Linked DNA regions of Rattus norvegicus. The protein of the gene in region 2 interacts with the protein of the main gene of each other region in a pairwise test. Links are inferred from orthologs where the notes say so. Each region holds a gene or a part of one and is shown on either strand. Other genes may lie near its edges.

Evidence for each region.
Region 1: the proteins of Gpank1 (region 2) and Ccdc184 interact in binary tests that used the Homo sapiens proteins (3 or more experiments, as listed by UniProt). The two-hybrid records come from large-scale screens. The link is inferred for Rattus norvegicus from reciprocal best matches to the Homo sapiens genes GPANK1 and CCDC184.

What each region holds. Positions count from the first base shown.
Region 1 is NC_086025.1:131,177,542-131,180,903, reverse strand, and holds Ccdc184 (coiled-coil domain-containing protein 184), read right to left. Parts: upstream 2,173-3,362; 5' UTR 1,698-2,172; coding exon 1,116-1,697; 3' UTR 768-1,115; downstream 1-767.
Region 2 is NC_086038.1:3,702,324-3,706,829, forward strand, and holds the start of Gpank1 (G patch domain and ankyrin repeat-containing protein 1), read right to left. Parts: upstream 3,030-4,506; 5' UTR 2,945-3,029; coding exon of another isoform or gene 2,935-2,944; 5' UTR 2,848-2,934; coding exon of another isoform or gene 2,799-2,847; exon of another isoform or gene 2,482-2,798; coding exon of another isoform or gene 2,445-2,481; intron 1,761-2,444; coding exon of another isoform or gene 1,759-1,760; coding exon 1,151-1,758; intron 978-1,150; coding exon of another isoform or gene 935-977; exon of another isoform or gene 895-934; intron 596-894; coding exon 151-595; 3' UTR 1-150. Other genes in the region: Csnk2b (casein kinase II subunit beta), read left to right, coding at 2,799-2,847, 4,113-4,195.

The DNA.
Region 1 (3,362 bases), on a different chromosome or scaffold from region 2:
CATCAAGTTAAGGAACCTCAGGACAGCCACATGCTCCATGCCCTGGTTGAGGAGTGGGGCAAAGGGGAAAGGAGCAGAAAATGCCATGATTGCCTGGGGCTCCCAGACGGGTCTGAAGCCCCCTGAACCTAATGCTAGAGCCACAAGCCCTGGCCCTGAGGGCTCACACACTACTACACAGGTGGGCACACACGTGACACAAGACATTATGGAGGCGACACCAAGAAGCAGAGGGCACTGACATATTGACAGAAGAAGGAACCAAGGTTAAGCAGGTATAGCCAGAAAAGACAGTTCGGGGGCTACAGCGCCACCCCCTCCCCCCAAGAGTTCCTCAACCGTCCCCTAAATCTGGACTGCTGCTGAGCAGTCCCAAGTCTCTGCCTGTGACCAGAGCACTTGGTTCTCTAGGCCCAGGTGAGTGGCAAAGCAATCCCAGGTGAAGTCAGTGACATGACAGGCAGGTTCTGCTCTGCATGCTCAAGGCCAGAGCTCCAGCTGTCTTCAGGCACATTCATAGCCTGCTCCTCCCAGCCCTGGGGCCCTGGGAACCCACGTCCCCAGATTCCTGGGGCTGCAGTTCCCTCCTCAAGCTTCCTTTACCAGTCGGCAGCTGCAGAGATCTGTAAGGGGGAGAGCTTTCCACAGAGCACTGTACAGCTTGGATGTCAGCAAAAGGGTAAAATTTCCTGTTGCCAGAATAGAATACCCCAACTCCTTAATTTCTAGGTAAATAGAGATTATTTGCCAAAGTCCTAGATGACTCCTTTTTCAGAATAGAAAAGGCAGAATTTTATTTACATAATTCAATGGTCCTCCTGTTTCCTAGGAAGAGGCGGAGGGCAAGGTAAGGGAATGGATGGGAGTCCAGAGATGGGCACTTCCTTTCCTCACCTTTCTGTAGTTTGTTATGATGCCTGGTTGGTGGAATTCGCGATGCTTCCAAAGTCCTTCACCCTACAAATCCTTCTTTGAGGGAGTCTCTCTCCCTGACCTATAAGAACCACGTACGTTTTGGAGAGAAGAACTCTGCACCGCACTGTTCAGTCCCCTCGGGTTAAGCACTTGGAAACCCAAAGCCAGCCCGGGTAGTTGTTTCCCCGGTGGGGTCCCCCTCACAGAGAGGCCTCGCCCTCCAGCTGCAGAAGGGTAATGTCAGGCAGGTCGAGGGGCTCCACAAGTGGCCCATTCTCCCCAAGGAGACCCGGGCTCTCAGAGCGCTCGCAGTGACTGGTGGGTGTGGCGGGGCTAGCCGTCTCTTTCTCCTCCTCTTCCTCCTCGTCCTCTTCATCAGGATCTCGACCCAGCAAGCCGCTGTCCCCAATCCCAGGCGAAGGTGTTTCTGGCTCATGGGGAACACTGGGGAAGCTCCCCTTTCCGCCGGCCACGCCCAAGCCTCCCTGGCGGGGCGCAGTGGTCATAATCTGGCACATGGAGACTATGGCCCGCTGGTTGGCGCACACGTCGTCCGACAGAACCTGGATGTGCGAGGCCTGCTCGTCCAGTGCCCCTCGCATGGCCCTCACGTCCTCAAACAGGGCCTGCAGCTGGGCCTTCAGGTGCTCCATCAGTTCCTTCATACCGCCGTTATACTCCCCAGAGATCACGTCCCCCACGGCTGGCACCGTGGACACCTCCAGAGGAGCCGGCATGTCGCCGCCGTCCTTGGTCATGATCTCCAGCAGACTGTCCTCCATTGAGTGGCAGAAGCGGGCGATGGCAGCTCTGGGTCGTGTCCAGCCGGGCCTCCAGGGTGGGGGGAAGGGTGTGGAGGGGGAGAGGTCCCGGGAGGGACGGGGTGGAGCCCAGTGACACCTAGGCTCCCTAGAGGGGCGGGGAGCCGACGTGAAGAGAGCTGCACCAGGCAAAGGGCGCGGACAGGATCAAGGAGGGCTGAGAAGAGTCGACAGGACGAAGACCCGTCTAGGGTCCCGGGACGAGCGTCTTCAGGCTTTCCCAGGGGCAAAAGTGGCTTGCCCGCTCGCTTCCAGTGTGGTACCTATGTCCCTGCCGCCCTCCCGGTAATCATCAGCAAAGAGTGTCCCCCAGGTCACAGAGGCGCATGCAGAGGGGCTCGGGGTCCAGACGGGGACCCGCAGCGTGTCGGTCTCGGGACTCCCCTCGGCCATCCACCAGCAGTGCCCGCGAGTGCGGCTGGAGCGGCAGGGGCGGGTCTCCCGGCGGCGCCGCGGATGCTCCCCCGTTTCCAAGGCGACGCACGGCACGTAAATGACGTATGTCTCCATGGCAACGAGGAAGTGAAGAAGAAAAAGAACAGGGTTCCGAAGCTGCAGTGGAGCACTGTTGTATGGGCTGACGGGCGGGGCAGGGACGCTGCAGTAGCCTCAGAGAAGCTGCAAAGAGCATGTGGCTGCAATGTTTAATAGGACAGCATGAGAAAGCAGTTTGCTGCACGACCCCCACCCCCAAGCCGGAGAGGGACCGTCTGCTTTTGGGGAAGGGGTGGGCGGAGGGGTTCACCCGCTCTCCGCATTCCTTCCTCGGAGGACCGAGCGAGAGCCAGATCCTTCCGGGCCGCAGGACTGGGTAGCGATTGTTAATAATCCCAGGCGAGCTGGACGCACCAGGCCTGGCGGTGCAGAGGGAGGCGGAGGCACGACCGATCTGCCTCTCCCTTCTGCAGCATAACCAATTTTCCCTCCCTCCAGAAAGCTCAGGGTGAGATTCAGTCCCTTACGGGACCCAGCTGTTTCTATCCAGGTTGCTGAGAGTTTACGAGAATGATGAAGCTAAGTGAATTCTGAGAATGAAAACTCCATACCAACAGATTCCCCTCTTCTGCGCCCTCCATCACAGGATCCCCGGCGCTTAAAATAGCGTCCGAGACGCAGAAAGCGGATGCATAATGTATCTGTGGAATGGATACTTAAAAAAGAGCCACCAAGTACCATTCTCTTCTCCAGGATTCTCCAGAAATCTCCAGCCCACGCACAGTGGACTTCAAAAGACCTGAATACAATTTCGTTTCATTCCTTAGTGATTCGGAGACCTCAGCTGAATCATTTTCTTGATGGACCGAACTGTAGTGTTTCTAAATCTGAGTTAACACTGCACAGCCGCGCAATTGAGTGAATTATTAACGGCTGTAGGGTCAGTGCCCCTAGTACCCATGTTTAGATACCCACTAAACACCCCTGTCCTTTGTGAAAACCCCTTCCCTTACTCAGAGGGTAGAGGAGAGAAGGAGGAAGAAGAAAAATTGGTTATAATAGATTTAGAGATTACATAGACTGGGAATGTAGTCAACTTGTAGGCTATAACATGCTAATATCACTTTGATAAAAAGAAGCCAGAAGGCAAGTGATCAAAACTACTGAGTTTATAAGAATCTGGGAAGGAGA
Region 2 (4,506 bases):
ACAGGGAGGGAAGTTTATTTATCTCCCAACTCTCAACCCTTTTCTCTAAAAGCAGAGCCCGGTAGCCAAGGCCTAAGGGTCTGGAAGCCCAAGTGTCCAAGTCAGAGGCCCACACCCAGCCAGTGACAGACGAGGGCCAGTCTGTGTCAGTCAGAACTCGAGGTTCATGTATAGTCTTAGATCTCGCTCCCAGGCCCGGTCCTTCTCTTCTCGCCTTCTGTTCTCCCTCTGACTCAGCGTGCCGACTCGAGGAACTCTCTCTTTCCCAGACACAGCCCGGGTATCCCGAGCTGCAAAGTGTGTGACCCGGGGTTGGGTTGGGGATCTATAGCCCAGTCCTTCCTGGTCCCTCTTGAGGACAGTGGGAATAGGGTTGGCACGGCCTTCACCCCGGGGTCCTAGCCCCATTCCTGGTTCCCAGCCACCCCTCAGCAGCAGTCTGAAGCCAGGACTGGAAGTGGGTACCCCAAGGGGAAGGCTGGAGGGCTGGGGTCTCCTAGACAGTGACAGCAGGTGAGCAGTAGATGTGCGGTGGTTGGAGTCTTCAAAGTAGGCACCACAGTCCTCACAGAACTGGGAGGAGGAGGGGGGTGATCTGCAGAGAAAGAAATAAGTTATAGGGGAGGAAGTTGTTCAGGCACCAGGCAGAGCACCTTATGCCTTTCTCCTGATTTCAGCAGCACCTTTTTTGATTGTATCTTGTTTTGGGACCCCAGGGTCTTCCCAGTGTTAGGCAGGCGCTCTAACCAAGCTACGCCATCTCCTCTCCCTTTGTCCAGAAGGGACAACTTGGAATATGTTGGGTAGGTCTCAAGCTCTCAGGAGTAGCGAGTGGTGCTGATACTCAGAAAGTGCATACTAGCAGCAAGCACCGTCCACACTTTCCACACTGACCTGCTGCATCTAAACAGCCCTTTGAGAGAGAGTCTTATCCTCAGTTCAGACAAGGACTGAGATTCCCAGACTTTAGGCTGGCTCTGCAAATAAATGGAACCCAGATTCAAACGCACAAAGGCCACGTCTATTACCGCTCTAAGACTGAACTACTGGAAGATGAATGGCCCCTACTAGCTGCTGTGCGGCCCTTGGTAGGAGGTGTCCAGGAAAGAACACAATAAAGATGGGGCATGAGCAAAGGCTCCCTCCTCACCGGTTCTGGTTCTCGGGGCTCCTTGTCTCCCCACGACTCTCTCTGACCATGCGGGCTACCTCAGGGAAGCCTGCTTCTTCTGCCAGCTGAGCCGCGTCTCTGCCTCCCAGTTCACAGACTCCTACCCAGGCAGCCCCTCGGCCCAGGAGATAGCGCACGGCAGCGCCCTGGCCCGCTCGAGCAGCACACATCAAGGGAGTCCACCAGAAGGCGTCACGAGCATTGATATTCCCTCCAGCTCCCCCTGCCTCTTGGGGTTCCAGCAGCCTCCGGAGTTCTGTCAGATCCCCATTCTGGGCTGCCATCAGGATCCACTGGGTCACCCTGTCTTCATCCTCAAGTGCTCTTCCTTGTCTCGGGACCCCTGCTGCTACAGGCTCCCTTGCGGTAGTTCTTCTTCTCTTCCTCTTTCTCTCCCTGGTCGGTTCGGCTCTCCGGGGCTTAGGGGAACCACTCTCCTCTGCAATTAGAGCCTCATAGAAAGCCCGGGCTGCGGCCCCATCCAGGACAGGCTCTGGTTTCTCGAGCTGTGCTTGCTGTTGACCATCTTTCCAGAGGTCACTGGAGTCGGTGGCTGGAGTGAATGTGATGAGGGATGGCTTGGACATGGCTGTGGGAAAAGTGAGAAAATGAAGACCAGGCAAGGCAGGAGGATGTGCCAAGCAAGCCTACCTTTCAGGTAGCTCTTGTGAAGACCAGCACCACCTCCAGGGGCCCAGCAGCCTACAACTAAAATGGACCTTCCATCCCCACACTGACTTCATACCTAGGATTCTGTAGAGCCCAGGGCTCATGGATAAAATGTAACCCAGGAATAACTGATCCTGCCACAATGTTAATATAATTTCAGGAGGGCATGGTAGGTACCTATGTCTCTGGGTAGAATGCTCGCCCCGAATTTGAGAATTCTAGGTTCTATCTCTAACACAGAAAAGAAAAAGGATAACAGGAAAAATATTCCACAAGAATAGGGGTCTAGGGGTCCTGCGTTCAACTCCCATCTTCCTACAAAAATGCCAGGCTCTCTCTGAAATCATTTTTCCTGTCCTCTAACACATACCGTTTGAAAATATCAGTTCAGCCTTTTAAATCTTGCTCGATCTTATCTAGGGGGGGTCTCCTTTTCCCAGATAAAAAACAGGCGTGACATTATTCCGGAAGCTTTCGGGGAAAGACGCTGCACTGTCATTTCCGTACCGCAAAATGGCGCTCTCATAATCTCTAAGAGTTGATACAATCAGAGCTACAGGGAGCCATGACGCATGCGCACCAGCAACAACAACAAAACACCCACAAGGTTCAGTTTCCCGCGCTGGAACCTTTCCAAGCATCCGTGTAAAGCATCGCGTGCCCAGGAGCGCGAGGACCCAAGGGGGAACCTGTCGGTTGGGGTCCTGCTTTTACATAACGCCCCCACAATGCTCTTCGCCACCCTCGCCCTGGTCCCTCCAGCACCAAGCTCCTTTCCTGGAGCTGGGAGGCCACCCTCTGCGTTCAGAAAGACTCTGAGGACACAGAGGGGGAGACCTGTGGAATGCCGAGGAGCTGTGAGATGAAGTAACATCACGGCACCCCTCACCACTACTCTGAGCAGGGTTTGAAGAACAGTTAGGGTCCGCAGCAGGACGCTCCATCAAGCTCTGAGGAAATGGAGAAGTACAAAGGGACGAGCGGCAGAATGGCTGGCCCCACCTCAGGTTAGCGCGCAGGGCGGTCTAGATTCTCACGCCGTATGCACAGCTCAGCGCGTCCTAAGCACACCCGACCTAAGTCCCTCACCACACCTCTGCGCATGCCGGAGCCCGAGCGCGCTCTGTCGCGGGCCTGGCAGGAGAGCCAGGGTCCAGTGGGTTGGCCTGGCACGGGGAGGAGGGAGAAAAACTAAAGCGCAACGCCGAGAGAGCACCGTAGGGATGACAATCACCCCGGGCGCTAGCCCCGTAGTCTAGCCAGCCTCCTAAGACTATATTTCCCAGGCTTCCTGGTCGAGAAGACTCCGTGCTAGGCTTCCGCTTCCGGTGGCGCTCCGTTCGCCCCGCCCCCGGGCGGCTTCCTCTAGGGCCTCGCGGCCCTAGAGTCATGCGCGGGTCCTCCTGGGATTGGTAGTTTGCCTTCCCTTCATTTCGTCAGTTTCTCTCTCCTGACGGGACTACATCTCCCGGCGTCCACGGAGGTAGGGGGGCGGTCCTTAGCGCCTGCGCGTTGCTCTCTTCTCCCCCCCAACCCCTAAACCCTCACCAGTTTCCAGTCCCCCCCTCCCCACTTCGTCTGCCGCGGCCGGGTCGGCTTTTTGCGCTGTAGCGGTCTCTGCCGTTCCTTGGAAGCACAGCTCCCCTTCCCCGCCCCAGTCCCAGTCCCCGTCCGGCCGGTGAGTGTGGGGTTGTCTCCGCGCCCAGTCGCCGGTCCCTGGGCGCGGCACTCGGGTCGGTGCTCCTCGATGTGGGGGCGACGAAGGAAGTGACCGGGTCGGTAGCCGAAGGAGGTCGGGGGGCCTGGGGAGAGGAGGCGGCTTGTGGGGACGCTCGTGAGTCCCACGGAAGTGTGGTGCCCTCGCCAACCCTGCGAGGGCAGGAGAGGCCGATTCTGTTGGGTAAAATGAACTTCGGGAGCTTTGGGACAGGCGCCAGGAATATGCAGGCACCTGCGGTGGTGGGGAGCCCGAGCCGAGGGCCCTGTCGCGGCTGACATGGAGGGGAGAGGGGCCTGGCCGTGAGGAGCGCCAGGGACGGGGGTAACACTAACAGATCAGGACCTGTCATTTTCTGGAAAGTAGCGGAACTCGTTCTCAGCACACTGTAAGGGGGGGCCGAGCTAAAGGAGAGGAGCTTGGAGATGCTTCAGAGGCCGGGATCCTTTAAGCCCGGCTGGACTCGGATTCATCCGTCGTTGTGGAGAACGTGTGGGAGGAGGGAAGAGACCAGAAACAGCTTGGTCTCCACTTACTTAGGCTCTTCTTTCTCAGCGGACATAAAGATGAGTAGCTCTGAGGAGGTGTCCTGGATTTCCTGGTTCTGTGGGCTCCGTGGTAATGAATTCTTCTGTGAGGTGAGTTTAGGTCGGCCAACTCCACATGCCCTCGATGTTTGATTTTACGTCGTTTGAGAGCAGATTTCGATCGAGCTCACTATGCAGACTAGACTGGCCTTGAACTCCTGGCAATCCTACCGGCCGCCTCCTGAGTGCTAGTATTGTGAGGGTTTGTCAATATGCATGGCTAACAGAGGTGTCTCTGGTGACCATTAGGGCAGTTAAAACCTCTCATGTCAAAGTTGTGTAACGTGCAAAGCACGGTGTGCTAAGGTAGAAAATTATAAATACCTTTCAGAAACTAAACTACTTGACCTTCATGATTCCGA